Linked DNA regions of Macaca mulatta. The protein of the gene in region 6 interacts with the protein of the main gene of each other region in a pairwise test. Links are inferred from orthologs where the notes say so. Each region holds a gene or a part of one and is shown on either strand. Other genes may lie near its edges.

Evidence for each region.
Region 1: the proteins of TRIM27 (region 6) and FBF1 interact in binary tests that used the Homo sapiens proteins (3 or more experiments, as listed by UniProt). The two-hybrid records come from large-scale screens. The link is inferred for Macaca mulatta from reciprocal best matches to the Homo sapiens genes TRIM27 and FBF1.
Region 2: the proteins of TRIM27 (region 6) and UBE2K interact in binary tests that used the Homo sapiens proteins (3 or more experiments, as listed by UniProt). The link is inferred for Macaca mulatta from reciprocal best matches to the Homo sapiens genes TRIM27 and UBE2K.
Region 3: the proteins of TRIM27 (region 6) and ILF2 interact in binary tests that used the Homo sapiens proteins (3 or more experiments, as listed by UniProt). The two-hybrid records come from large-scale screens. The link is inferred for Macaca mulatta from reciprocal best matches to the Homo sapiens genes TRIM27 and ILF2.
Region 4: the proteins of TRIM27 (region 6) and ATPAF2 interact in binary tests that used the Homo sapiens proteins (3 or more experiments, as listed by UniProt). The two-hybrid records come from large-scale screens. The link is inferred for Macaca mulatta from reciprocal best matches to the Homo sapiens genes TRIM27 and ATPAF2.
Region 5: the proteins of TRIM27 (region 6) and TRIM32 interact in a two-hybrid assay, tested with the Homo sapiens proteins (2 studies listed by BioGRID and IntAct). The link is inferred for Macaca mulatta from reciprocal best matches to the Homo sapiens genes TRIM27 and TRIM32.
Region 7: the proteins of TRIM27 (region 6) and NTAQ1 interact in binary tests that used the Homo sapiens proteins (3 or more experiments, as listed by UniProt). The two-hybrid records come from large-scale screens. The link is inferred for Macaca mulatta from reciprocal best matches to the Homo sapiens genes TRIM27 and NTAQ1.

Annotation. Positions count from the first base shown.
Region 1 is NC_133421.1:85,649,229-85,653,448, forward strand, and holds the start of FBF1 (fas-binding factor 1), read right to left. Parts: upstream 2,929-4,220; 5' UTR 2,812-2,928; exon of another isoform or gene 2,734-2,811; intron 2,470-2,733; 5' UTR 1,787-2,469; intron 1,753-1,786; exon of another isoform or gene 1,688-1,752; intron 1,597-1,687; exon of another isoform or gene 1,464-1,596; intron 1-1,463. UniProt on the Homo sapiens protein: Keratin-binding protein required for epithelial cell polarization. Involved in apical junction complex (AJC) assembly via its interaction with PARD3. Required for ciliogenesis.
Region 2 is NC_133410.1:38,909,776-38,914,158, forward strand, and holds the start of UBE2K (ubiquitin-conjugating enzyme E2 K), read left to right. Parts: upstream 1-1,559; 5' UTR 1,560-1,608; coding exon 1,609-1,671; intron 1,672-4,383. UniProt on the Homo sapiens protein: Accepts ubiquitin from the E1 complex and catalyzes its covalent attachment to other proteins. In vitro, in the presence or in the absence of BRCA1-BARD1 E3 ubiquitin-protein ligase complex, catalyzes the synthesis of 'Lys-48'-linked polyubiquitin chains.
Region 3 is NC_133406.1:113,368,472-113,372,564, forward strand, and holds the start of ILF2 (interleukin enhancer-binding factor 2), read left to right. Parts: upstream 1-1,232; 5' UTR 1,233-1,320; coding exon 1,321-1,325; intron 1,326-2,019; coding exon 2,020-2,079; exon of another isoform or gene 2,080-2,111; intron 2,112-2,370; coding exon 2,371-2,413; intron 2,414-3,606; exon of another isoform or gene 3,607-3,625; coding exon 3,626-3,730; intron 3,731-4,093. UniProt on the Homo sapiens protein: Chromatin-interacting protein that forms a stable heterodimer with interleukin enhancer-binding factor 3/ILF3 and plays a role in several biological processes including transcription, innate immunity or cell growth.
Region 4 is NC_133421.1:19,597,814-19,601,443, reverse strand, and holds part of ATPAF2 (ATP synthase mitochondrial F1 complex assembly factor 2), read left to right. Parts: intron 1-3,132; coding exon 3,133-3,177; intron 3,178-3,417; coding exon 3,418-3,563; intron 3,564-3,630. UniProt on the Homo sapiens protein: Plays a role in the assembly of the F1 component of the mitochondrial ATP synthase (ATPase).
Region 5 is NC_133420.1:41,594,638-41,598,992, forward strand, and holds the start of TRIM32 (E3 ubiquitin-protein ligase TRIM32), read right to left. Parts: upstream 2,844-4,355; 5' UTR 2,763-2,843; coding exon 801-2,762; 3' UTR 1-800. UniProt on the Homo sapiens protein: E3 ubiquitin ligase that plays a role in various biological processes including neural stem cell differentiation, innate immunity, inflammatory resonse and autophagy.
Region 6 is NC_133409.1:154,437,075-154,440,647, reverse strand, and holds the end of TRIM27 (zinc finger protein RFP), read right to left. Parts: intron 2,233-3,573; coding exon 1,637-2,232; 3' UTR 575-1,636; downstream 1-574. UniProt on the Homo sapiens protein: E3 ubiquitin-protein ligase that mediates ubiquitination of various substrates and thereby plays a role in diffent processes including proliferation, innate immunity, apoptosis, immune response or autophagy.
Region 7 is NC_133413.1:133,837,091-133,841,372, forward strand, and holds the start of NTAQ1 (protein N-terminal glutamine amidohydrolase), read left to right. Parts: upstream 1-1,482; 5' UTR 1,483-1,544; coding exon 1,545-1,627; intron 1,628-4,282. UniProt on the Homo sapiens protein: Mediates the side-chain deamidation of N-terminal glutamine residues to glutamate, an important step in N-end rule pathway of protein degradation.

The DNA.
Region 1 (4,220 bases), on a different chromosome or scaffold from region 6:
ATCTGTAATGCCAGCTACTCAGGAGGCTGAGGCACTAGACTCGTTTGAACTTGGGATGTGGAGGCTGCAGTGAGCTGAGACTGTGCCAACCTAGGAGACAGAGTGAGACTCCGTCTCAAAAAAAAAAAAAAAAAAAAGAGAGAGAGAGAGACAGGGCGCAGTGGCTCACACCTGTAATCCCAGAACTCTTTGGGAGGCTGAGGCAGGTGGATCACCTGAGGTCAGGAGTTTGTGACCAGCCTGGCCAACATGGTAAAACCCCATCTCTACCAAAAAATACAAAAAATTAGCTGGGTGTGGTGGTGGGCACCCAGCTACTTGGCAGGCTGAGGCAGGAGAATCGCTTGAACCCGCTAGACGGAAGTTGCAGTGAGCTGAGATCATGCTATGCATTCTAGCCTAGGCAACAGAGCAAGACTCCATCTCAAAAAAAAAAAAAAAAAAGATGGTTTAACAGAGCATGAATCCAAGGTTTATCAAAGCTTCTCTCACTTTGCCCATTCAAGAGGTAAAACCCATTTCCATAAATTAAAAATTCCTTATAGGGGATGCACTTCAGAAGAGGAACAAAGTACTCTCAGGCTGGGCGCGGTGGCTCACACCTGTTATCCCAGCACTTTGGGAAGCTGAGGTGGGCAGATCACTTGAGGTCAGGAGTTCAAGACCAGCCTGACCAACATGGTGAAATGTTGTCTCTACTAAAAATACAAAAACTAGCTGGGTGTGGTGGCACATGCCTGTAATCTCAGCTACTCAGGAGGCTGAGGCAGGAGACTCGCTTGAACCCAGGAGGAGAAGGTTGCAGTGAGCCAAGATCGCCCCACTGCACTCCAGCCTGGGCAACACGTGAGACTCTGTCTCAAAAAAAAAAAAAAAAAAAAAGTGCTCTGGAGAACTTAACGGGCTTTCTAAAGCTTTGAGATTACTTGAAAAAAGGGCAGTTGGCCGGGCACGGTGGCTCAAGCCTGTAATCCCAGCACTTTGGGAGGCCGAGGCGGGCGGATCACAAGGTCAGGAGATCGAGACCACAGTGAAACCCCGTCTCTACTAAAAATACAAAAAATTAGCCGGGCGCGGTGGCGGGCGCCTGTAGTCCCAGCTACTCAGGAGGCTGAGGCAGGAGAATGGCGTGAACCCAGGAGGCGGAGCTTGCAGTGAGCCGAGATCGCGCCACTGCACTCCAGCCTGGGCAACAGCGTGAGACTCCGTCTTAAAAAAAAAAAAAAAAAAAAAAGAAAAAAGGGCAGTGGCCATGATCCCTTACCCTGAAAGCTGATGCGGCAAGTGGCAAGTACTCATTTCAGAAAGGAGGTGGGTACCTGGCACCAAGGCTGAAACCCTTTCCCAGGCAGCACCCATGACTACTTTCTAAGCAGCATTTAGCACAAAAGCAGGTGTGAGCTCTGGTTACTCTTTGATATTCTTTTTCTTTGTAAAATCTTTTTTTAGAGATGGGGTCTCACTGTGTTACCCAGGTTGCTATTGAACTCTGGGGCTCAAGCAATCCTCCTGCATTGGTCTTCCAAAGTGCTGGGATTACAGGTATGAGCCACCACATCCAGCAACACGATTTTCACTGACAGTGGAAATATTTCCCTTTACATAGGCAGTAAATCTGACCCATTGAGAACAGTTTTCTTCAGAATTAGCTCTCTCCCTCCCCCTCCTCCACTTTACCAAAACCCACCTACAGGATGTCCTGGAAGAAAGGAGTCAGAGGGGTCCTCTCTCTGTCCCAGGTGTTGGCCTGTCCTGTTATTGGAATGCAAGGGTTATCTGGGCTTACCTACAGAGTCCACCTTGAATAATTGAATACATGTGTTTTCTTTTTTTTTTTTTTTAGATGGAGTCTTGCTTCTGTTGCCTAGGCTAGAGTGCAGTGGTGCAATCTTGGCTCACCGTAACCTCAGCCTCCCGGGTTCAAGCGAATCTCCTGCCACAGCCTCCCGAGTAGCTGAGAATACAGGCGTGCACCACCATGCCCAGTTAATTTTTGTATTTTTAGTAGAGACGGGGTTTCACTGTTGGCCAGGCTGGTCTTGAACTCCTGACCTCGTGATCTGCCTGCCTCGGCCTCCCAAAGTGCTGGGATTACAGGTGTGAGCCACCGCGCCTGGCCTTCTTTCTTTCTTTCTTTTTTCCAGACACGGTCTCACTGTTGCCCAGGCTGGAGTGCAGTGGCGCGATCACAGCTCTCACAGATCACTGCAGCCTCGACCTCCTTGGGCTCAGGCGATCCTCCAATCTCAGCCTCCCTAGCAGCTGGGACCACAGGCACACGCCACCATGTCAGGCAAATTTTAAAACTTTTTTTGTGGAGACGGGTCTCCCTACGTTGCCCAGGGTCGTCCCAAACGCCTGGCCTCGAGTGATCCTCCCGCCTTGGCCTCCCGAAGTGTTGGGATTACAGGCATGAGCCACCGTGCCCGGCTTTGTGTTTCTTTTTCTCTGCAATGGCGACATCACGACCTACAAGTCCAAATGTGTCCCATAACACATCATGGAACTTCTGGCATCTCCTATCAATCCTGTACGGGCTTCAAACTATGGGGATTTTCTAGGCGTGGTTTGCCAAGGCCAAAGGGCTACAGTGTAACCCCGTCCCTACCTCTATTCAGCCGACTCCATGCCAGGCGTTTTACAGATCCCGAGACCACCCCTAAACAAGACCCCTAACCGGAGTAGCCCCTCCGTCCCCTCCGTCCCGAGACTCCGCGCCCCTCAATGCGTCACCCTTCTGAGCGCCCGGCCTATATGGCCCCCGAGAGCAGCCTGTAATGCTCCCAGCCCCTGAAGCTTCCCGTTACGCGCCGTGTCCCCGGAGGTGCGGCCGCTGGGACCAGCACCGGCCCCGGCTCCATTCAGGTCGCCCAGCCCGGCCAGGCCTCCCGCTTCCAGCCGCTGCTGCCACCCTCAGCCGTCCGGCCTCCCGCGGAAAGGCGGGCGCGAGGCATCCTGGGAGTCGTAGTCGGCGGTTTGCTCACCTGCCCGCACAGAGGAGACAGGGACGACGTGAGGAACTACAGCTCCCAGGGAGCCGCGCGCGGCCGTTGGCGGGGCCGGGCCTCTGCCGGCGGTGGGCACGTTGCTAGGAGCTGCCCCAACGCCTCTCCAGGAAGAGGGCGCCAGGCTCAAAGGCCCTCTTGGGAACTGCCGAGACGCTTAAAAGTTCCTCCTGCCCACTTCTGAGGGCTGACACGTGGCCGGCGCGGAGGCATGAGAAATGTGTTGATATTGGGAGGTTGACGGGTGAATCCACGAATTCACCCGTGTTTATTCCACACCCCAAAGCTTGAGGGAAGTGACTGACCTTCCTGTTTAATGATCCAATCAAAGCTGTATAGCCAGAATGAAACCCAATACTGTCACCCCACAAAAAGATACGTCACATTTTTTCTAGTATGTGCTAATTATGAATTTTATTAAGGTTTATTCAATTTCACAGAGGAAAGAACGGTTTGTAGTTTGGCTTACCCGCAGTGCTGGCAGGTCACAGCTGTCCAACCATGATTCATTCACATGCTCTGGCCCCGTGCCCCTCGTCCTCCCACCTCTGCCCCCACAGGACACCATCAAGCCAGGGCTGGGTAACAGCATATGCTAAATACATCTTATCAGGTATGAACCAAACTCAAGCCACGACAGCAAAGGCGGAAAAAGGTAGCAAAGTAATTATGTGCTCCCAAGGCATACAGTCATTTAGTTGAATCCATAACAGTTGGAAATTAAAAGGCATTTATGAAGTGTAGTCCGCAGTCTGAATGTGGAAGGTGGAAGATCACACATTTACTAATCTAAGAAACACTCAAAACATATTTTGGTCTAAAAAATCCCCAATTTTCCATGATCTTCCCAAGACAACCAATGACCCACTTAAACTTAAGGCAGAAACACCCTTGAATCTAGGAACGTGCACATATGCAACAGCTAACATCTGGTAACTCTAACAATGTTCCTTATATGTTTCTGTGTTTACTATCATGGACCATAGGAATCAAGTACTGGAAAATTTAGTAAGCGTGCACAAAAGCAAAACACTGGCTGGGCGCAGTGGCTCACGCCTGTAATTCCAGCACTTTGGGAGGCTGAGGTGGGTGGATCACGAGGTCAGGAGTTCAAGACGAGCCTGGCCAACTTGGTGAAACCCCGTCTCTGCTAAAAATACAAAAAAATTAGACGGGCATGGCAGCAGGTGCCTGTAATCACAGCTACTCAGAAGG
Region 2 (4,383 bases), on a different chromosome or scaffold from region 6:
CTAAAAATTATTATCTTTAGAGATAGGATTTCACCATGGGGCTCAGGCTGGTCTCCAACTCCTGGGCTCAAGTGATCTGCCCCGACTAGGTCTCCCAAAGTGCTGGGATTACAGGCATAAGCCACCGCGCCCGACCAGAAACCACTTTCAAACTTACTTTCTACTTAAAATATTTTATACTTTTTGTTTTGTATTGTTTGAGACATAAACTTGCTCTGTGGCCCAGGCTGTATGTAGTGCAGTAGCGCGATCTCGCTCACTGCAACCTGCGCCCCCCAGGTTCAAGCGATTTTCCTGCCTCAGCCTCCAGAATAGCCGGGATTACAGGCGCCTGCCACCACACCTGTCTGATTTTTGTATTTTTAGTAGAGACGGGGTTTCACTATGTTGGCCAGGCTGGTCTCGGACTCCTGACTGCAAGTGATCCGCCGCGCCAGCAAAAGCGTTTTACTCTTATCTGTACTCATTTACACATTCAATATTTATAGAGTGCCTACTATCACCAAGCACCTTTGTAGGCCTAGGTTTACAGAAATAAGGCTCCCCCTCCCCCATCCCAGTCCCCTGAAGGGCACTATAATTTCTATTTCTCCAGTTTTCAATTTAATATATATGAATTTTCACACGCTTCAGTTCAGTGGTTCTCATAGTGTGGTCCCCGAACCAGCACCAACAGCAGCAGCAACTGGGAGACTTGTTAGAAACGCAGTCTTAGGCCCGCTCCACACTCTAGGGATGGGCACAGGAGTGTGTGTGTGTGTGGTGTGTGTGTGTGACAGAGAGTGTGTGTGTGTCAAGCTCGGTATTAAATAGGTCAAAGATCAACATCTGACTTGTAAACCCACCCTCAGGCCTCTCCACCGAGTACCTGTCTCAAACCCAATCTGATCCAACAATAACCAGCCTTAATTCGATAATCTGTGCTACCTGAGATGATGGGAATAATCGTGGTACTATAAATGTTGCAGAACAAAAACGACTGCAGTGGATTTTCTGGGGCTACACCAACTGAAAATGGGCCGGACCGAGATCCGCGAGAGCGTTTTCCTGCGCTAGACACGGCGTTCAGCCTCCGGGTTCCGGGTCTAGCTGAGTCAGGGCGGCGTTCCAGCCGAGTGCGGCTTCGGGAACCCGTTCGGCTGCGCGCGAACCTTCGGTCAGAGGCCAGCGCTGGAAGCCCCGACCACAGCACCTGGGTTTAAACAGGAGCGGAGGCGCCGGGTAGGACCGGGCGGGCAGGCTACGGCCGGCCACCTTGGAAGCCGCGCCCTAGCGGCCCCAGACGCCGGCAGGGCGGAGCCACGCGGCCGCAGCCCCAGCCGAGACGCGAGCTCGTGGCTCGGGCGTATGGGGGCTACAACGGGAGCGGCTGCGCCGCCCGGCCGGGTCAGCGTCGTGCGCATGCGCCGACCCGGCGCCATTTTGGTGGCCGGGCGCGGAGGTGATTCCACACTGAGGCGAGCGCGGCGGCCGGGGTGGTAGTGGCAGTGTTCGTGTGCTCGGGTCTGAATCGCCGGGGGAGGAGGCGGTGGAGGAAGAGGTGGCGGCGGTGGCGGTGGTCGTAGCGGTGGCGGAGGAGGCGGGTACGAATCAGCTGCGGGCGGAGACATGGCCAACATCGCGGTGCAGCGAATCAAGCGGGAGTTCAAGGAGGTGCTGAAGAGCGAGGAGGTCAGAAATGAACTCCCGGATATCCCCCATCTCTGCCTGGAGCGGGAGGGTCCTCCCAGCTGCGACCCCGATATCCTCGGTAGTCCCTGGGTGGCCCTCCTTGCGGCCGCCCTTCTGCCTGTGAGGAAGCAGCAGTGTTCCCCTCCTCCTTCCGCCGCCTTCCCCTCCCCTCCCAGAGCGCTAGGATGAACGGTCTCGCGGGCGGGTGGTCTGGGGTGGAACACGGTTTGGGGAGCTGATGGACAGGGGGGAGCTCCTCGGAGGGATGGAAGCTCACGAGAGAACCCGAGGCGGTGGCCACAGCTGGAAATGTGGCTGTGGGGTGGGGAGGGAGCAGGCCGAGCCTGAGAAAACCCGGGAAGTGGGTTGGGGGAAGGGGAAAGGTGGTAACTGGATACGAAGAGCAGTGCTGCTCAAAGGCCCACACTTTTGAGGGTATTTGGGGTTATTGCTTGTCAGGCCTTCACTGTTCTTTTCGTAGGGGAGGAGCGGTGAGTCCAAAGGTATTGATTAGAAAGGAAGGACATTCAGAGTTAGTCCTTCTTAGTTGGGTGTTAGGAGTCAAAGGGAGACATAATAGAATACTGTCTTATTTGGTGGCGGGGGTAAGGGAATTTTCACCTGAGTTAGCAAGTTATTCCAAACGAGATAATTATGTCTTCCACTTAACCCCCAAATTCGTAGGCCTCATTTTTATTGACATCACAATCTTTTTTGAGTGGGCAAAGGCGAGGTGTTTGGTGTATTAAAGACATGTAAATATTTTTAGTTAGGAAAAAAATAATGGGTTGTATGAGTAGTTTATTTCAAAATATTGTTTACAAGTTACCGATCAGACTGTCCTAAGACAGTGCCTCTGTGACTCGTGTTGTGCCACGAAACTTCATTATGATGTCCCTCATAGGTAACTTGATTCTTACTTTTGAAAAGTAGACCTATTAAAAATGTGAGATTTCACCAGATTAATACATTATTTCATCTCCTTATTGAGTAGATTTATCACGACTTAACAGATTTTCAAAAAAATTGCCTGCCATTGCTCTTAAGTTCTGCAGAATTTATATACATTAGTACTACGTTTATGTAAGATATTCACAATGCTCTAGTAATTTGACTCAAAATTATGCAAGTATTAGTACAGTGTGTCGTACCAAGATGAACAAGAATGCCAGATTGTCTTCCCCACATGAATTAAACAAAAAGTAATACAGAAAATGATTATTTTCAAGATTCACATACCATTATTGAATATATCATTGCTATTTTTGTTTTTCTTTTACGGTTAGTACTTTGATAGTGTCAATAATGATTTGTGAAATTCAGCATTCTAAATATGTGATGAGTATACATGGAGAAAAATTATTTAAAATTCAAAAATGACAACAGACTTATTGAAAGTAGTAGTATGTAAGTCATGATCGGTTTTACAGAGCATGTGTATGAACTCTGACCTCTGTGTTCATATGCCAAAACTCTGAATGGAAGGATGACTTTGTATTTTGTGGTACAGCGCAGAAATAGAGTCAATAAGTGTCTGTACTGATACAGTGAAACAGCAATTTTAACTTATTTAATATGAAAATGTATTCCAGGTTAGCTGACATACATACTCCTAATGAAAGATAGCAGCTAATATTGTTGCCAACAACCTAAAACATTTCTTGTTTAATAAGGTTGTACAAGCCTGAAACTTAATAGACTTTTAGTGCTTTATTTTCTGTTACAAGTGGTAAGTTACTGCTTTGGTAATTAATATGGTCTCTTTGCTTTTTATGAGCTCACTTTTCACTGTGAGATTCGTAGTACTTAAGTTGAAGATTACCAGAAATACTTGTATTGCTCTCTAGTAATGCATATTGTTAAAACAAACAAACAAACAAACAAAAAAACACTGCTCTTTATACATAAGGGATGAGGAAGCCTTACTTCAGATAAGCATCAAAAGTGTTTCAGAAGAAGAAAACAGGAAATGCAGACAGGTTTTTTGTTTGTTTTGTGTTGTTTAGAACAGTACCTGTATAAATATGGAAGGAAACTTCTTTTGGGAAAATCAGTTGCAAAGAACATTTAGGAAAGAGTCACATCATTTAATCTTGCAATAAATATAACCAATAAATAGCTTATTTTCGCCAGTATTTTTTGATATTTTAGTAGCCCCAGTTCTATAAGTGGATTATTTTCAACTCATTGAAGACTTGTAGTATAGTCCGTGTGTTTCCTTTTTAAGGGTGTAAATCCAGTCTTTTGAATGGCTGATCAAATAAATATTTCATCATGTCACTTTTTTGGTAAATCTGCACTTTACCAAAATTTATTTCATGTGCTTGTATGCTTGCGTTTACTAAGAACACTGGTTGATTTAAGGACTTTTTGGGGTGGCCTTGTAAGTGCCTTTGTAAAGATAGCTGACGCTTACTGGATTCTGGTTATGAGAGATTATAAGTGACCATTCTTAGAGTGTGTTAATTAAAATACAGCCAACAAGATAAATGTGAAAAGCAAGATGCAGAATAGTGTGGAAGAAGCCACCATTTGTGTTAAAAAGAGGGGAATATGTGTATTTGTCTTTATAGGCAAAAGGTTTCACAAGAAATTGGTAAAATTGATTGCTTTCTGTGTAGAAAAATTGGGTCTCTGGGGCATGGGGTATAGATATTTTTTTAATTTTGTGTCATACGAATGTGATTTACTCAAAGGCACCAGTTGGCCTCT
Region 3 (4,093 bases), on a different chromosome or scaffold from region 6:
GGGTAAGAGACAAAGAGATTACTGGGGGAAAAGTCTAATACGTCTTTGGAGTTCAGGAAGGAGGGAAATAATAGGTAAAACTAATACTGGAAGATATAATAGCTAATAAATTATATAAATGGATGACAAACCTCAAGCCATTGATTCAAGAAGCTCAACAAACCTCAAGCAAGATTTTTTTTTTTTTTTTTTTTTTTTTTTTTTTTTTTTAAGACGGAGTCTCCCTCTATCACCCAGGCTGGAGTGCAGTGGCGCCATCTCAACTCACTGCAACCTCCGCCTCCTGGATTCAAGATTCTCCTGCCTCAGCCTCCTGAGTAACTGGAATTACAAGTGCCCGCCAGCACAAGCCACCGCACCCGGCCCTTTTTTTTTTTTTTTTTTTTTAAATTAATAACATTTATTTAAATCTGGATGGTGGTTATGTGGACAGAATACGTTTAGACTTAAGATGTTTACGTTCTGCTGTAGTAAATTAAATATCAAAAAAGTACGTATGGAAGGGAGGTAGATGAGGGATAAAAGTCTACAAGTTGGATTCAGTGTATACTGCTCGGGTGATGAGTGCACCAAAATCTCACAAATCACCACTAAAGAATTTATGTAACCAAGCCGGGCGCGGTGGCTCAGGCCGGTAATCCCAGCACTTTGGGAGGCTGAGGCGGGTGGAACACCTGTTTTCCACATTAATTCAATCAATATACTCCTCCTATCTGAAACCTGTTTCTCCTGCTTCGAGTTTGTAGACGTGTAGTGTTCATGGTTGCCTAAACTCCCTTTTCCCCATCAACTTCAACTGCTAGTGGCAAAAATGGCTGATACTGCTTGCGTTTTTGGGGTAGGAAAATCGGCAAGGTATTTTCATTCACTGAATGTAATGTAAATTACGTGTACGGTACAGGGCAATGAAAAAATTCCGATAGCAGAGGATGGTTTCGATCCATCGACCTCTGGGTTATGGGCCCAGCACGCTTCCGCTGCGCCACTCTGCTATCTGAAGGCCAACGTTCTCATAACTGTTATAGAAGACCACGTAGTCGTTGTCCTGACTTCTTCAGTGCCACCTAATGTCTGATCAAAAATTCGTCATTACTATAGAACCAGTTCTTATTGGCTAGTTCCTGACACAGTAGGCGTTTTTTATTGGTTCATAAGCCCGGTTTGACAAAGTAAGCCAATAGGCATAAGCGATGGGGTAAGGCGGGAGCCAATCACGCCGGGTTTTATTGGGACACGCCGGCAAGACTCCTCTTCAGTTGTCTGCTCCTCAGAGGAAAGGGGCGGTTGGTGCGGCCTCCATTGTTCGTGTTTTAAGGCGCCATGAGGTAAGGGGGTCGAAGTGGTCGAAAGGTTTCAGGTATTCGACGGAAAACTTTGGGAACGTGGGTCGAAAGAAGTCGGAGTACCTAAAAGGACCATGTATCCGGGAGCTGGCCAAAAACCTGAGAACTCCTGGTCTAAGAGAGTGGGAGAGAGTGAGGCCGGTAGAGGCGGGGAAACGGGCCCGGGATGGGGTTGGGGCCCAGGAGTGGGGAGGCGGGTTCGACACCTCTCTCTGAAGGGTTGCGATGAGGAGGTGTCCTCAAGTCCCCGGAGGAGCTCCCCACCTTCCCTCCGCCCCCGTCATCCGGGCTGAGAATGCTGGAGCGAGCCGCATTCATCCTCAGTGCGAAGGGCTTGACATATAGGACATGCCCGATAAATGTGTACGTTAATGAAGAAATGAGCAATCTTTAGCTTCCGAAGTATTAGGATTCGTGTGGCCCAGGATTATGGGTTATTTCGTGTAGGGCTCACTGTCTGAGCCCCATCATTACTTGATGGGGGGTTGTGATTAACTTATCCAGAATGAGGAGGTTATGGGGGTGTAACTGGGCACCATTTGGAATGGGGAGGAGTGTGTGAGTGGGGTCTCTTGCCTACCGTTGGGAGGTTCCGAGGGATGAAAGTAGCCAACTTAAAATGATATGGCCGGTGGGTATTCCTTCAATGAGATCAAAATAAAATCTGCATTTCTAGGGGTGACAGAGGCCGTGGTCGTGGTGGGCGCTTTGGTTCCAGAGGAGGCCCAGGAGGAGGGTGAGTGCCAGCTTTTAGCATCTCTGCACTTAGTTGTTAGTTTCTGCTTGTCATCTAAATAGGAGTTTTGGAATAGACTAATGTCACTTGGTTTTGTGAGAGCCAACTGTGGTCTTTTCCGCACTCCTGCTAAATGAATTTGGCCCCACTATGCTAAGAATGATTCTCTCCCTCCCCAGAGACTTTGTCACTCATTCTGAGGTCTGACATGTTTTCAAAATTGTTGGTGTGTTATTTAAATCTCACTTGATTCCTACATAGGGAATAATTTGGCTGTTTTTCATGTTTTAGGTTCAGGCCCTTTGTACCACATATCCCATTTGACTTCTATTTGGTGAGTACCTTGGGTTAATAATACACAATTTCTGGCCATTCTTGAAATGGAGCCTAGTATCTCCCAGTTAATGAAGTTAGATAGTGGTTGAAGAGGGCAGGCACAGTGCCTCACACCTGTAATCTCAGCACTTTGGGAGGCCGAGGCGGATGGATCACCTGATGTCAGGAGTTTGAGACCATCCTGGCCAATATGGTGAAACCCCATCTCTAGTAAAAATAAAAAAGTTGCTTGGGCGTGTGCCTGTAATCCCAGCTACTTGGGAGGCTGAAGCAGGAGAATCGCTTGAACCCGGGAGGCGGAGGTTGCGTGAACTGAGATGGCACCACTACCAAAAAAAAAAAAAAAATGGTGATTGAAGTGAGGGGGAAAGTGATTTTTGAAAAGACTTGGGGTTTTGAGTCAACTGTGTGTTGCTTTACCTACAGAAACAGTGTAAGCATGGTGGGGAGAATAATTCCTTGACTACTGTTGGCATTAAACATGATTATAATCTTTGTTCTGAACAAGTAATCGTATCTACGGCTAATTTGTTACTATAAAGATAGTGATAGCTTAAATTATGGCTATTCCAGCTTGTATCCTTGTTTGAACATTTTTTCTTTTTTTTTTTGAGACAGAGTCTCACTCCGTCACCCAGGCTGGAGTGCAGTGGTGCAATCTTGGCTCACTGCACTGAACCCGGGAGGCAGAGGAATCAGGACCTCTGCCTCCCAGGTTCAAACAGTTCTCCTGCCTCAGCCTCCCAAGTAGTTGGTATTATAGGCGCCATGCCCAGCTATTTTTTGGGTATCTAGTAGAGACGGGGTTTCACCATGTTGCCCAGGCTGATCTTGAACTCCTGACCTCAAGCGATCTGCCCACCTCGGCCTCCCAAGGTGCCGGGATTACAGGCGTGACCCACCATGCCTGGCCTTTGAACAAAATTTTTTTTTTTTTTTGAGGCAGGGTCTTACTGTGTTGCCCAGGCTGGAGTGCAGTGGCACGATCTTGGCTCACTGCAGCCTCGCTTCCTGTGTTCAAGGGATTCTCCCACCTCAGCTGGGATTACAGGCGTGAGCCACCATGCCCAGCTAATTGAACAAATTAAGGAGTAAAAACAAGTGTAGAATTTTCTATTTTTAACCTTTTTCTGTCGTAGTAATAGAAAAAACAATCTCTCCTGTATATTATTTTCGGCAAATGGAATGTAGTTGTTTACTTCTGGTTTAGTGTGAAATGGCCTTCCCCCGGGTCAAGCCAGCACCTGATGAAACCTCCTTCAGTGAGGCCTTGCTGAAGAGGAATCAGGACCTGGCTCCTAATTCTGCTGAACAGGTATGTTCTTTTGGCTGTCTTCCAGAAATGTCTCTAAAGCAGGTAAAAGTATTGGTAAAGAGTAACTGTTGGTAAGGTTAAGAATGGTGTTAACAGAGCCTGAAATCCACAGAGGGTTTAATTGTTCTCCTTATTTCTCATTGTGGGTGGAGACAGCCAGGTGGATATATAAACAAATTACATATGCATTCTTATTTTTATTGGGGATAAAGAGTTGTTCTCTTTCCATATATTCAAGGCCAGAATGAAGTGTTTTTAAAGTCCTAGGTCAGTATTGAGTCAGCTCGTATGGAAGGGATTAGGAGAAAATACTCAAACTCTGAGAATTTGCTTCTAATTTTTCATCTTCGAGTATTGTTTCAT
Region 4 (3,630 bases), on a different chromosome or scaffold from region 6:
TTAGTGGTCTGTATTCCTACTACACAGTAAGTGGCTGGAGGGTGCAGAGATGAGCTTTGCACATGTCCCATTCCCAGGACTTACCATATGTCCTGGAACATGATCACTACTCACCAAAGCTTGTTCCAAGACACGTTTGCCCCTCCACGTGTCAGTGGGTCATTCAGGAGAGCCCCTGGCTAAAACACATCTATGTGTACCTGCCTTCTAATCTGAGGACTGGCAGCCCCTGGGCTCCTTTTGCCCTTCTGCTGTCTCATTTTCTGCATGATTTTCTTCTGCTTTAAGCAATTTTGGTGGCTCCTTCCCTGCCTTCCGTCTATCCCACTCCCGTCTAGTTTTTTCTTATTCAGTTACAGAAGTGAGCCTGGCCAAGAAAACAGAAAAAAGACTTCCCTCTTGGGAAACCTGGCTGTCCCAGGAGCTTGTGAAGGTTCAGCCCTGTGCTGGCAGTTCCTGCCCTGAGTCTGTTCTTCTGGCCCAGGTCTCTTGGGTTCACTTCCCAGACCAGGCCTGGAAGTATGCTAGAGTGCTCACTCTTGTATACTTGTACACTCTTGCTGGCACTTCCTGCTGACGTGGGAAGACCCTTTCCCTAGTGTTGAGTCAGAGCTTTCAGAGCCCTTCCCAACTTCCTGCCTGGCCCGGTTTTATACATGCTGCCCAGCCTGTTGCATTGAAAACATGGAGGGCATGGTCTACCTCACTCCAGACCTGAGAGAGGAAAGGAGGCCTCCAGACCCATGTCTAGCCTGCCATTTGGATTTGACCAGGACAGTATGTAAAGAAATTTAAAAGCACTAGGGTGCTGTAAACTTCCAATTTTAGTGTAAAACATACGAGATAATCGGTGTTGTGATTTCAGATGAAAGTGCTAAATCGTGCCATAGAAAGACAGCATCATCTTGGTGGACAGATCTGATCCTAAAAAAAACTTTAAACTCCCTGTCTATTTTATTGACTCTTGTATCCCAAGTGCCAAGGCACATGGTAGACACACAAATATTTTTGTGGGAAAAAAATTGGGGCCTTAGTTTAGTAAGTGCAAATGTGGAATGCAATTTTGGGCCCTCTGTCTTTAAGTATTAGTGATAGCAAATGAGATTTATAGAAAACTGATATGATGGGAAAACATAAAAATATTTGGAGTAAAACCAGTTGCCTGCTTCTCCATTACCCTTCCCTCTCCATGCACACATACTAATTTCTCCTGAATTTTCATGGTCTGTTTGAATTAATGAAATTTTAACTTAAGCTTGTTTATTATTGTTGTTGTTGTTGTTGTTTTGTTTGCTTGTTTCAAGAGACGGTCTTGTTCTGTTGCCCAGATTGGAGTGCAGTGGTGACATCACAGCTCACTGCAGCCTCAGCCTCCTGGGCTCAAGCAGTCCTCCTGCTTCAACCCCCCTAGTAGCTGGGACTACAGGCATTTGCTGCCATGCCCGGCTAATTTTTTATTTTTGTATTTTTTTATTATTATTTTTTGAGATGGAGTCTTGCTCTGTCACCCAGGCTGGGGTGCAGCAGCACAATCTCAGCTCACTGTAGCCTCTGCCTCCTGGGTTCAAGCGATTCTCCTGCCTCAGCCTCCCGAGTAGCTGGGACTACAGGCATGCGCCACCATACTTGCTAATTTTTGTATTTTTAGTAGAGACAGGGTTTCACCATGTTGGCCAGGCTGGTCTCGAACTCCTGACCTCAGGTGATCCACCTGCCTCTGCCTCCCAAAGTGCTGGGATTACAGCGTGAGCCACTGCACCCAGCCTTATTTTTGTATTTTTTGTAGAGATGGGGTCTCATCATGTTGTCCAGCTTGGGTTTTGAACTCCTAGCCTCAAGCAGTCTTCCCACCTTGGCCTCCCAAAGTGCTAGGATTATAGGCATGAGCCACTGTGACCAGCCTTTTTTTTTTTTTTTTTTTTTTTTTTTTTAGCATTAAAAGCAAATTATTTGGCTGGGCATGGTGGCTTACGGGTGGGATCACTTGAGGTCAGGAGTTCGAGGCCAGTCTGGCTGGCATGGCAAAACCCTGCCTCTACTAAAAATTCAAAAATTAGCCTGGAGTGTTGGTGCACGCCTATAATCCCAGCTACTCAGGGAACTGAGGCAGGAGAATCGCTTGAACCCAGGAAGCGGAGGTTTCAGTGAGCTGACATTGTACCACTACACTCCAGCCTGGGCAAGAGAGTGAGAAGCCATCTCAAATAATTAAATAAATAAATAAAGCAAATGATTTACTCTTTTTTCCTCCACATGCTGCATCATTATTTCCAATAAATAACTTCAGTTAGGGCCTCCGAAGACTTTGAGAACTCAGTGAACACATGAACGAGTGAACAAACGAATGAATGAATGAAAGTTTTGTGTTTGTCACAGATGTGAGAGACTAAGTTATAGCTTATAGCTTCCAAAATGTGACTTCTTTGTTATCAGTTGAGGGAATCTGCATAATTCCTTAGAAGTACTCTTGATTGTTAATCCCTCCAGGCTAAAAGAAGGAGACTGTTTCATGTAAGATTTTATTCAAGTTAATTTCAAAAGAAAACACAGGACACAGATTTTCCCTTTCTTGAAGGAAATGTTTGGAGTTCCTGTTGGATACATAAGCAAGCTGGTTAATTAGGTTAATTAATTGGAGAGAGGGGATGGGAAATGCCCTTGGGAGCTCTGCATCCTGCCTATGTACCTCACACGCACACCCTGCGCAGGCACACTGGCTTTCCACTCACTCCTTAGAGGCATCAGGGTCTTGGCTGAAATGAGTCTCTAGCTTTGTCCCACTCAGACACCGACTTTAGGTTTGTGCTGGCATGGGGTGGCACTGGTGGTGGGGAGGGTGGGAAAGCATGCCGAGATGCTCCTGATCAGACTTGTCCCCAGGCTGGGGGGTTGGCAGAGGCATGACCAGCATGTCCTGTTCCTCCCTCCTCCCTGGAGATCGGATGCTCCCTACCCCCAGCTTTAATCAGAAGCAGTTGATTATACCATGTTGAGTAGGGCAGACCTTGAATGGGGATATGAAAATCAAGCCAATCAATCAACATTAGCAGTAATGATACAAGCTGGTCCTGTCGCTTCCTGAGTTGTCTCAACGTTATTTTAAACTGCCTCTTTGAAAAATCTTTCTTACAGAAAGGAAGAGGTTTTATCAGAATGTCAGCATCACACAGGGTGAAGGTGAGTGTCTGAAATTTTGACTGCCTCTTTTTTTTTTTTTTTTTTTTTGTGAATGGTCGGGAACATTTTTCATCTTCAGCTGGTTCCGTGGTGAGATTATCCTTCCTGCTTTTGTCAGATATATTTCTGTAAGGGACTCAGAGTTGGCTTTGTCTGCACCAATTCAAGTGGCTAAATATAGGAATGGTCACTTGATTCCACTTAACAAATCCCTGAGAGTTTTTCATTTGATCTTTCAAGGTGGCTTTGAGATAAACCTGGACCAGAGGAAGCTGAAAACTCCCCAAGCCAAGCTCTTTACCGTCCCCAGTGAGGCCCTGGCCATTGCAGTGGCCACTGAATGGGATTCCCAGCAGGATACCATCAAGTACTACACCATGCACCTGGTAACAAGTTCACAGTGCGAATCTGGACCCTGAGACCCACCCAGGGCTTCCTAGGGTAGATCCCTTA
Region 5 (4,355 bases), on a different chromosome or scaffold from region 6:
TATCCAAGTTTGCTGACTATATCAGCATTTGTTTGCTTATTCCTAGCTTCCTATGCTTTGGCATAATTCCAATCCATATTATGCTTCTTTAAAAGGCAAGCAATTTCCAGGCTGAAGTCGTCAATACCAACCAACTAGGGTCAATCCATTCTGTCACATCTGCAGTTCTCAATCCAAGATGGCACAGATCCTCCAGGCGAGAGGTACTGCTTCCTAAAGGGCCTGTGTATCCCCTTTGGTAGCACTAAATGAATGAGCTTTCACACTGGTAAAGACGATCAGACTGAGACATAATGTTACAGGAATATGTCTGAAATGTCACTGAAAGGTGGAGCATATCCCACTGAAGCATGCACAGTGAATCCAATCAGAGTTGAAGAGAAAGTGTCACAGATGAAGCACATTGTAATAGGAAGGAAACAATGGATCAAGGGCATCAGAGCCAAACGGGAAAAAATCAAGGATTTAATACAAGGGCACATTTCAAACATGGCACAAAGGGCTAAAGTGGCTCTCTCTACTAAAGCCTTGGAAGTGCCTAATTGCTAATCAAACTTCAGCTAACACCATTGCGTGTCCTATTTGGGCAGTGCATCTTTTAAAGCTCTAAATTTAGGTGGGAAGTGGGGAGGGGAAAATAACAAATAAAAAACATAAAAAGATGGAGCTTCTAAAGTTCTAGAACTACCCAGCTGGAATCAGGACATATGCCGAGTCTATTCTCTATGTGCCACTAACAACCAAGAACTATGGGAAGGGAAGCTGGCTTGGGAGCAGAAGAAAATGATATTTCTCATCCCCTATGGGGTGGAGTATCTTCTCAGATGGTAGCTGTAGATCTTGATGCAATGATCCCAACAGTCCAAGACCAGCAGCTGCCCCTTAGGAGTGAGGGCTATGCCCACCGGACAAGTAAGTCCCTCTCGAATAAGGACACTATAGCCCCCACCCTTAGGAAAATGGAGAATTTCCTTGCGACTACTGTCAGCCACAATGAGATCACCACGAGCATCCACACACATGCCAGCAATGCAGCGGAAATCCTCATTCTCCGAGAAGAAGTGGCTAATCTGGCGACCCAGCTGCCCATCGGGACCTACAGAACCAATGGAAAAGCCACCTTCCAGGTGGTGCTCATTCTGTCGATTCTCCAGATTGAGGCCTAAGCCCTGGGTGAAGTAGACGGTGCCCTCAGCATCACAGGTGACAAATTTGGGCCGCACAGCACTGCACAGGCAGCTGTATTTGACCACCCCTGATCCTCGATCAACTGTGAAACACCAAAGCTTTCCACCTTCCACATCAGTTACTACAAACTGGCCAGATGGCAGGGCTGTGATACCCCATGGTTTGCTCAGCTGGCTCCTGTGACAGGCCACACAGTGGCCATCCAAGGTATATACCTTGAGGGAGTTATCATAGCTGTCAGTCACACCAATCAGCCCCTGGCAGTTCATTGCCACTGAGAGAGGAGTGAGGTTGGGTAGATCCGCCCCAAGAAAGCTTAGCACAAAGCTATCAATGCCACTGGGGCTGCGGCGGATTTCCTTCAAAAAGCCTTTGCGGGTAAAGACTTGTATACGATAGTTACCACGGTCAGCAACTAGCACTTCACCTTGACTGGTCACGTAGAGACTGACTGGTAGATTGAACATTCCTGGAGTGCTGCCTTTGGCCCCCATCTTCTTGAGAAAGAGGCACTGCTGGATATTGGAGGCTGCCTCAGGACCCCGCTGTTTAGCAGGTGAGGCCCTAGGGCTGGCAACCACTTCCTCCGGGCTCATGTCCATCTCTCTAAATGTAACAGAGGTAGAAGCAGCAGAGGCTGCCGCCTCCATGGCCCAGGAATCTTCCATGTTAACTGTCCGGGGCTTCTTAACAGCTTGCCCAATTTGGAGGGGGCCAACATGACCTACCTTAAGGAGCTCCACATCTTGCAGGGTGAGCTCCCGAGGTAAGCTGGCAGTAAGCTCTGGCTCCTCCTCATCAGCTGTCTCCTCCAGGAGTGCTACATCTGCTTGCTTGATCTTGGCCAGGAAGTAGTCACAGCGAGACACAGCCTGCACCTCTGCAATGTTAAGAAGGTAACTCTGCTCCTCTACCACTTGACTATTGGACTTCTCAACTTCAGCCAAAGAGCCTGTGAAGAATTTCCGAGAGCGAGCCAGCTCATCCTGGACCCTGCGTTCCTCGTGTCCATACTCCTGGAGAACTGCTTTATACCTTGCCTGAAGGTCCTTGGAGACACCTTCCAAGGCTACCTTCCGCCGCTGCAGCTCCCCCATAAGTTCCCGCAGACGAGTCAACTTCTCTCCAAAGTCCCGACGCCGCTCCTCAGCGGCTTCTTTGACAGGGAGTGTACAGTGGCCAGGAGGCTGATGGTCTGCCTCCCGGCAGGGCTCACATAACACCAAACCACAGCTCCGGCAGAACTGCCGGGGCAGACGCCGCCCACAGGACCGACACATGAGCAGCCCCACAGCCTCGCTGAGCCCAGCTGTATCAATGATCTTTAGCACTGTCAGATTGTCTGTCAGCTGGGTCAAGCTGGTTATGCGGGTAATCTTGCTGCAAAAGGGACAGCGGACACCATTGATGCTACTGGCCAATAGCTTCTCCAGGCACTGGCGGCAGATGGTATGGCCACAGTGCAGGAGCTTGGGACGCAGCTGCTCTTCTGTGAAGGACTCCATGCAGATGGGGCATTCTAGCACTTCCCGGAGGGCATCCAGGTTCAGGTGAGAAGCTGCTGCTGCAGCCATTGCTATTCCTTTGAAGGGTACTGCTAGCACAGCTCAGAACTGAACAGCACAGTATTCATGCCCTAGAGGGTAAAATTCCTGCTAAAGAGAAAAAGAAACCATTATTCATTTTCCTCTGATTATATAAATCAATTCACTCAAGAAACATTTAGAGAATAGCTATGATCAGTCGTTCAGTCATTCACTTACTTAACTATTTTATTGAGGTCTATTATGTGTCATGTGAGGGTGACAGGGAAACAAACAAGACAAAACACTGCATAGAGGGTAATAATTCAGATTCTGGAATCTCAGACACTTACTTAGTTGCATGACCATAAGGAAGTAACTCAAACTTCCAAAAGCTCTTTCCCCATCACTCATCTGTAAAATAGAAAAATGGTGTCTACCTTATTCTATTATTGTAGAACAATCTATTATTGTAGAATAATGGTTATTGTAAGGGCTAAATAACAAGATAAATATGATGTGCTTAGTATATAGCACCAGGGAAGTAGTATACTTTAATAAATGCTAATGATTACTTTCATATTTGGTGAGTTTTACAACTTACAGTTTACACTAACAGAAAAGCACAGGAGAATTACGCACAGTAAAAGGAGTAAGTGTGACATGCAGGTCCACATAATGTTCTGCTGGAGTACAGTGGATGGAATGATAGATTCCACCTAACAGACTTGGGGAAGGCTTCCCAAAAGCAGTTTCACTCCTAAGATAAAGAAATGAAGGACTGAGGGATAAAGGTACTTTAAGCAAAGAAAACCATGTAAGCAAAAGTGTGGAGGCTGTTTTTTTTTTTTTCATCATGTCATAGAGTTTACTGTGTCATGTTTGGGGCCCTAGGAATCATCCACAGACTTAGAAAATTGTGATGATTAGCTTTAGGTAATCTGCAAAACATTAGATCAGAAAATACACATTTTCCATGCATCTATCCTCCTACCTACTCATCTATCCACCCATCTAAGTTTAGGTATCTTGTTCTGTACTAGATACAAGAGGTCTTCAGGATACAGATCCTGCTCTTCAGATATTCAAACTTTATAAAAGACAAGACATGTAGGCAAATAATAATGAAGGCAGAAAGTAGTACTATAAATGAAATAAAAACTAAGTTTGATGGGGGTTGAGGAGTCATTCTAATTTGAAGGGACACAGAATTTTCAAAAGGAAGATGACATTTTATATTGGCCTGGAAAGAAGCATAAACACACGGAGAGGGAAGAAAGGAGGCGGCAAAAGGCACAACCTTAACAAAGTTTAAAAGGCAAAGGAAAGGACAAGAAGTTTCATGTATTAGGAAGAAAACAGAGAATATTTAAAATCTATGCATTTTATTTTCTCCATCTTTAAAATAATAATTTTTAAAATAATAAAGACAGTGGAAATAATACTGTCTTTACAGAGTTAATGTAAGAATTAAATAATCTATAGAGTATATAGAATGCTAAGATTTGGCTCTGCACAAAAAAAGCCTTAAATGAATTTTAGTTCTCTTTTTTATTATCCTTAGATTAAAACAGTGGGAGTATATATGGGGAATAGAGTAACAGGCTTGGAAAGGTAAATTGGGGGAATAATTATAAAAGGTCT
Region 6 (3,573 bases):
CATTAAGTAAGTTATTGTGCATAAAGTTCTTCATATGATGTTCCAAGCACTGCTCTATGTTTGTTAGTAGTATTTATGTACGTGTGTGTGTGTGTGTGTGTGTGTGTGTATATATATATATATAACTGCATACATTTAGATCTCAGAATATTCAGCAAAAGCTAACCTAGCCTCATGGAAGCTACTTTCTATAGCTCCCTTAAAACCTGATGAGTAAATGAAGAATTAGGACATGATATCACCAACTCATGAACCTCAGCCATGGAACCCCAATGCCTGGCACAATACTACAAAAAGGACTTGAGAAAATACTTTCCTAGTAAAATTACAGGGTTAATCAATATAAGAACTGTAGGCTATGAATGTCCAACACTACTTTCTTAGCACCTCTAGAAAGTAGTGATATCATACGGAGAAAGTAGTTTTATTTTCCAGTTTGAAGTAAACTATTGGCCAGAGTGGGATTTTGGGACCCATATGGGAAAGCAACACCATTAACCATTTCCTCCCCACACCCATTCCAACATCTGAACCCAATCCTACCAACACCCAGAAAGCAACAACAATGTAAACATCCATATTCACTTTATTTTTAAACAGAGGGGCATGTACCCAAAGAGAAGCAGGACTGAGAACCATCATGGGGGCTTGCTTGAAGTGATCTGCCCCAGCCTTCTGACTTCAGAGTGTCTCATGATCCAATGGCCATGGGGGTGGAGCTGCCCCTTGACAGTATGCACTTAAGAATGGTCAATTCCCCTATCCCCCAAAGGAAATGGAGAAAAGGAGCCAAGAAGTCAATGAATCCCTGGAATATTGTCTCAGAATCCTTCCAGGGATGGTATACCACTGACCACCAGTCCACAAATGTGACTGGTAAGGGATCTAGTAACAGAGGATGGAGTTGGGCAGAATATTATCCTGGATGATATGCGCCCAGCACTAGAATACACCTTTCATTAGAATGAAGGGAGCAGACAAAACCCTCAGAAAAGATACAAAGGCAGAGACATTGATTAGAACATTATCTCATAACAGAGGTGGGGCCATTACCCACCATTATTGTAAAATAACTGTAACTAACCAAAACACATACAGGCCTCTTTAATGGAGTTAATAAAACTATGGCAGATTGGGAATCAGGGGCAGAGGTACTGTTCCCAGATGGAAAAACTGGGATAACGGAGCCATGCTGACAGGGCCTTGTTCCAGTCTAGGTTGTTAGAAAGGAGCCCTAACCCAGAAATGACAGCAAACAGCCATAATCATTATGTGGGGCTGAACCAGAGGAAGCCAGGCTGAGCCAAGAAGGTGGAAGTATCTGGAATGGCTCTCCAAATCCAAAGATTATCCATACTCTTTATCCCTCCAGCAATGTGTAAAACCAGAAAGTGTGAAACACTGGAGGTGGACATCTGGTTTTTATTTCTAGGATATCTTGATACATCTCATTACATTTCACAATCTGCACGGGAAGGAAAAGGATGGTAGAGAACATGGACATCCTGTCTCCCACTGCAAGGGCATGGAACATGGTAAGTATACCCAGCTGTGACAGGACGTGGCAAGGCAACAAGATGCCTTGTGCCTGGCATAGGATTACAGCCAACAGCCCTTTTGGCCTGAATCCACCTCCTCAAGGGGAGGTCTCCATGGAATGACCATGATTCCCAACATGGCCAGAAAACCCATCTATCCCACTCATGGGGCAGATGATCAGAGGAGCTGCGCTTTTCCCTCCCGAGTAACTCAGACTGAAGTAGGGCCGGACAGGCCCACAAAAGGTAGCATGAGAGAAAGTGAAAGTGTGACACCTCTCTGTCACGTTGTAGAAGGAGACCTCGCCAGCATCATAGTCCAAGAAAATCCCCACCCGCTGAAGCGGGGTCCGCAGGGGGAGGGCAGTCATCGGGGAGGTAAGAGCCCAATATTCTTTCCCATACCACAAAGACACTGCCCAGAATCCATTCTGGGGGGCTGAGGTTACTCCACCTTTTCTGCACACTGAGTCTTCACAGACACCTATGGTCCACTTGGCTTTATCTCCCACCTCTACCTCCCAATAATGTCTCCCAGCGATGAAGCATGGAGAGCCCAAGACACAGGGAAACAGATTGAACCGCTCGGGGTTGTCAGGCAGGTCCTGTTGGAGGTAACTGTACCGCACTTGCCGCAGATTGTCAGAGAGGATCAGGCTGGGGTAGGCCGTGTCTGGGTCCAGAGTCACGTCCACTGCAGAGACACAAAGAAGAGAGTCAGCCACGGGCCAGGAGAGCCTATTCTAGAACACTCAGTGCCTTTCTACTACCTCCCCACGAATGAGAGTTTGCCACTAGAGGTTGCACGTATTTTATTTAGAATATATTCTAAACTTCACATTTCAAAAATTACTGCTTGGATTAGCTGGTTACCAGAATACACTGAAAATACTGAATTTTAGCCCCATATCTTTTCTTTCACATCTGAAGCCACAATATCCATTATGAACCGATTTTAAGAGATAGGGTCCTGTTGCCCAGGCTGGAGCGCAGTGGTGTGGTCATAGTTCATTGTAACCCCAAACTCCTGGGCTCAGGTGATTCTCCCGCCTAAGACTCCCAAGTAGCTGGGACTATAGGTGTGCACTACCACCCTAATTTTAAAAAATTTTTTGTAGAGACGAGGTCTTACTGTTGCCCAGGATGGTCTTGAACTCTTGGCCTCAAGCAATCCTCCCACCTCAACTTCCCAAAGCAATGGGGATTTCAGGCATGAGCCACTGTGCCTGGCAGATACACTGAATTGAGGTTTTCTTACATGCTCATCATCCCTTATTCTGAAAACTTCAGGGGCCCAAAGTTTCACAGAATTCAGAATATTACAGGTTTTAGACAGGTAGGGTCTGGCGCAGCATTCTATAATGAAATATTAATAGATCTGCTATGAGATCCACGAATGTTTACATAATGAAGGATAGACTCTAAACAGCACCACATAAATTCACGTTTTGATACTGTAATTTCCTACAAAATAATGAAAAAGGTTGTGGCTTTCAGAGATTGGGGATTTTAGAACTGTGGGTAAAGGACTGGGAACCTGTATCAGTATGCTTACCTTTTAAATCACTCTTTTACAATTATTTTTTACTGTATTTTTTGAGATGAGGTCTCACTCTGTCACCCAGACTAGTACAGTGGCATAATCATGGCTCACTGCAGACTTCATCTTCCGGGCTCAAGCAGTCTTCCCATTTCAGCCTCCCAAAGTGTTAGGACTACAGGTGTGAGTCACTACACCCAGCCCAAATCACTCTTTTATCCATTCTATAAGATCTTTACTCTGCACATCAAAGCTCTATTCATCTTCTTCTAATGTCCACTGCAAGACACACATCCTCCAAGTTTTTCTTAATCTGCCCAGGCCATTACACTCTTCCTGTTCTGAAATCTGAAACTATGTATGATCCATGTCATCTCCTCTGGCATTTAGTATTACAGCATCTTGCTATCATCAAGTGTTTTCCTGCTTCAAAAACACTGATAATGGGCTGGGTGTGTGACTCATGCCTGTTAATCTCAGCACTTTGGGAAGCTA
Region 7 (4,282 bases), on a different chromosome or scaffold from region 6:
GCTATATAGCATAGAGGCTATGTGGAAGTTTGTATTAGGAGCTGAGAGGCAATAAAATTGGTAATTGACACAGGAACTGGGCTCAAAGTCTTTAGGATTTATCGGCTTTGGGACTCAAGAGATTGGAAAATCAGACTGTGGATGGCTAAAATCAATGTAAACATCTCAGTTTTTATAATGGGAAGTACCCTGATTAGCGAGTTATCCTCATTGCAAATATAAACAATTCAGAAGACTGTAAAGTGTAAAGTCCTTGAAACTGAAAGTCCCTGATATTAATACTATTCATTCACCATAGATAAATTCTATTTTTTTTCTTTTTTTGAGACGGAGTCTTGCTCTGTCGACCAGGCTGGAGTGCAATGGCACTATCTTGGCTTACTGCAACCTCCGCCTCCCGGGTTCAAGCGATTCTCCTGCCTCAGCCTCCCGAGTGTCTGGGACTACAGGCGCGCGCCTCCACGCCCAGCTAATTTTTGTATTTTTAGTAGAGACGGAGTTTCACCATTTTGGCCAGGCTGGTCTCGAACTCCTGACCTCGTGATCCACCCGCCTCGGCCTTACCAAGTGCTGGGATTACAGGCCTGAGCCACGGCGCCCGGCCCTAAATACTATTTTAACAATATGGTGTCTTTTCTTCCAGACTGCCAGTAAATGAACAAACACATGATTAACACAAAAACGATACCATATGGACTCTTTAAACTTTTTTTTTCAAATTTACTATATCAGGGAATTAATATATCTTTTCGAGCCAATAGATATAGGTCTTCCAATTTAAAAGATTAAGTTACAATAGAGTGAGATTTGGTGTGCTATCCCTTTCGGAAAGCGTCCTCGATGCGGTCATATTGGAATTAACCTCCACTCCCCTCCTCTTCTCTGGGCTCCCGCGGACTCCAGGCTGAGTGCTGAAGTGTGGATTTTCACACCCAAACCTCTGTTATTTCAGTGTCTCACCTGGCTTCTCCACAGCGCAGAAGCTCAGCCCCAAGTTGGAAGAGCCTCCCCGGGAGATTCACAGCGAAGCGCTATTCAGGGCCCAACTCCAAGCCCAAACCTAGCTCCACCCTAAGCCGCCGCCAAAGACCCCTCTTCTCCCAAACCTCACCGGGGCCCCGCCCCTGACTCCGCCCACGAGAGCCCAAGCCTCCAGTCCTGCCCCACCCCGGGCTCCACCCACCAGCCGGGCTCCGCCTACCCGGAAGCACGCAGTCCTCCTCGTCCCGGGCTCCGCCCACCGGGAGTTCTCGCCGCTCACCCCACCCCGGACCCGCCCACTTCGCTTGGGCTCCACCTTCCCAGGAACTGGCGCCGCTTGCCCGAGCTCTGCCCATTTCGTCCCCGGCTTCCCGCGCTGAGAACTCGTGCTGCGAGCCCCGCCCACCGCGCTCCTGGCCCCACCGCCCGGAAACTGTCCCGGCCGCCCCGGGCTCCTCCCACCCCGCCCTGAGAGCCCGCGCGTGCCGCTACACGCCCGCCCTTTCCTACGTGTGGTCCAGTCGGTCTTCCTCCGGCGTCGGCGCTGGCTGAGCTAGCTGGCCATGGAGGGTAATGGCCCCACTGCCGTCCACTACCAGCCGGCCAGTCCCCCGCGGGACGCCTGTGTCTACAGCAGCTGCTACTGGTGAGGGGGCGCGGGCGCAGCCTCTGGGTCTCCCTGGCTCCCGGGCCGCGAGTTGCAACCAGGCCCCGCCTCTTCCCGGCCCCTGCTCGGGGGCGCTCCCGGCCTCTACCGGCGGGTTCTACAGTTCTGCGGGAGTAGGGAGCGGGAATGGCAGCTCTTGTCTCTTGAGTAGAGCGTGGGCTGTTGGATGGGGTTGGGAATTCGTCCGGAATCCTAGGGTCGATAGTGCATTACCTGTGCCTGGCGCTTGTCGGTTGGATTTGCTCAGCAGATCTCTGCTTCGGGGCTAGGGAGGGTGGAGCTCTGAAAACCTTTGGAAGTTACTCTGCTGAAGCATGTGGGGTTTCAGACTGAGGCGAAGGTCATTTTAATTTTGGAAGAGAATGGAAGCACAGAGAGTTTGGGATAACTTCCCAAGGTCACCCAGCTAATAGCAGCCAGGAATCCAGTTCGGGCTCTCTGGCACCAGAAACCATGATCTTAACCATGTTGTCATTATAATAATGGTTACATTCACACAGCCCTTGCTATATGCCACGCGTTGTTCTGGGTGGTTTAGGTAAACTAAATCACTGAGTATCACAATAACCCTAAGAGGTAGGTATTGTTATCCCCAGTTTAAAGATGAGAGCACTGAAGCACAGAGGGCTGCAAGTAATTTGCGCAGGGCCACATCACTTGTGAATGAAGGAGTGGGGATTTACAGGCAGAGTCTGGCCCCGGAGTCCATGCTCTGCACCCCTGTCCTAGGCCACCTCTGCAGCTGAAGCACCGCCCCTGCCTTGGTCCTTTTTCATTCCCATGCCTACTCTTTCCTGAGTAATGGTTTCTTCCCCAGCTTCTTCTAGTCCTTGCACAGGAACCCTCAGTGCTATCTAAAACTACCCTTCCCCCTTCTGCTTGTCACTAAATCAATGCCACCGAGCATTTGTTCGGCCCTGATTGCATGTCAGGCTCAGTGGCAGGTGCTTCCATCGATGTCCATGAGTAGCTTCTTTTACTATCGTTATCCTCATTTTACTAATAAAAAGAGTGAGCCACAGAGAGGCTGTTGTGTGCCCCCAGATCACACATCTAGCAAGTGGTGGTGCTGAAACTGGAACATCTTCGTGATTTTGAAGTTCATGCATCTTAACTGCTGCACTCTTTTTCTGTCCTGCCTCTTCTAAATCCCGTTAGTTCTCCTCCCTAATGTCCATTGTTTTATTCATTCATTCAATAAATGTGTATTAGGCACTTGGAGTATGTGGCCCACTTCTGGGCACTGGAGATACAGCAGTGAACAAGATGGACAAATTCACTCATGGATCCCTTGGTTCTTGTATTTTGATGAGAGAAAAGCAGATAAGGTCCGGTGCGATGGCTCACGCCTGTAATTCCAGCACTTTGGGAGGCTGAGGTGGGCGGATCACTTGAGGCCAGGAGTTTGAGACCAGGCTGGCCAACATGCAGAAAGGCTGCCTCTACTAAAAATACAAAAATTAGCCAGGTGTGGTGGCACACGCCTGTAATCCCAGCTACTCGGGAAGCTGAGGCAGGAGAATCGCTTGAACCCGGGAGGAGGAGATTCCTGTGAGCCGATGCCACTGCACTCCAGCCTGGGAAACAGAGCGAGATTCCATCTCAAAAAAAAAAGGCAGACAAAAACAAGTAAACCATGTTTGGGTGGTGTTAAGTGCTGTGAGAAAAATAAGATAAAGGATGGTGGCTTATTTTCTATTAGGATATTTTGAGAAGACATTGTTGATAAGGTGATATTTGAACAGAGATCTGAAAAAAGAGGGTGAGAGCTTTGCATCTATTGGAGGATGGTCATTTAAGCAGGGAGAACAGCAGGTACAAAGGCTCTGAGAAGGAATTGTGCTGTATGATAGAAACAGTGAGGAGACTGGTACAATTGGAGTATCAGAGTTAGAGCAGTCTTGTAGAAGAATGGTAAGAGTTGACCACTCTACCGCAGGATTTCTCCGCCTAGGTTCGAGTGACATTTTGAGCATGATAATTCTTTGCTATGGGGGCTGTCCTGTGTATTGCAGGACATGTAGCAGCATCCCTGGCCTCTACCCACTAGATGCTGTTAGCACCCTAGCTCTAGTTGTGACAACCAAAAATGTCTCCAGACATTGCTAAGTGTCCTGTAGGGCTTGGGGGGCAAAATCGCCTTTTGCTGAGAAACAGTGCTCTACCCTGTCTGAACATGTCAGGTGGGGGCACTGCACTACTTTGGCTCCTGCAGCTTTGTGGGGTTTTTTTATTTTTGAGACGGAGTCTCAGTCTATCACCCAGGCTGGAGTGCAGTGGTGCCATCTCGGCTCACTGCAACCTCTGCCTCCCAGGCTCAAGCCATTCTCCTGCCTCAGCCTCCCGAGTAGCTGGGACTACAGGCACCCACCACCATGCCCGGCTCATTTTTGTATTTTTAGTAGAGATGAGGTTTCACCACAGTGGCCGGGCTGGTCTCAAACTCCTGACCTGAGGTGATCCACCCGCCTCGGCCTCCCAAAGTTCTGGGATTACAGGCATGAGTCACCATGCCTGGCCATCCTGCAGGTTTTTAAACTTGAAATGAGTGCCTCCTGTCTACTTCTGTTAGCTTCTGTCATGTTAGCTTCCAAATGTTACTTATGCTTCAAGACCCTGCTTAATGATAATAGT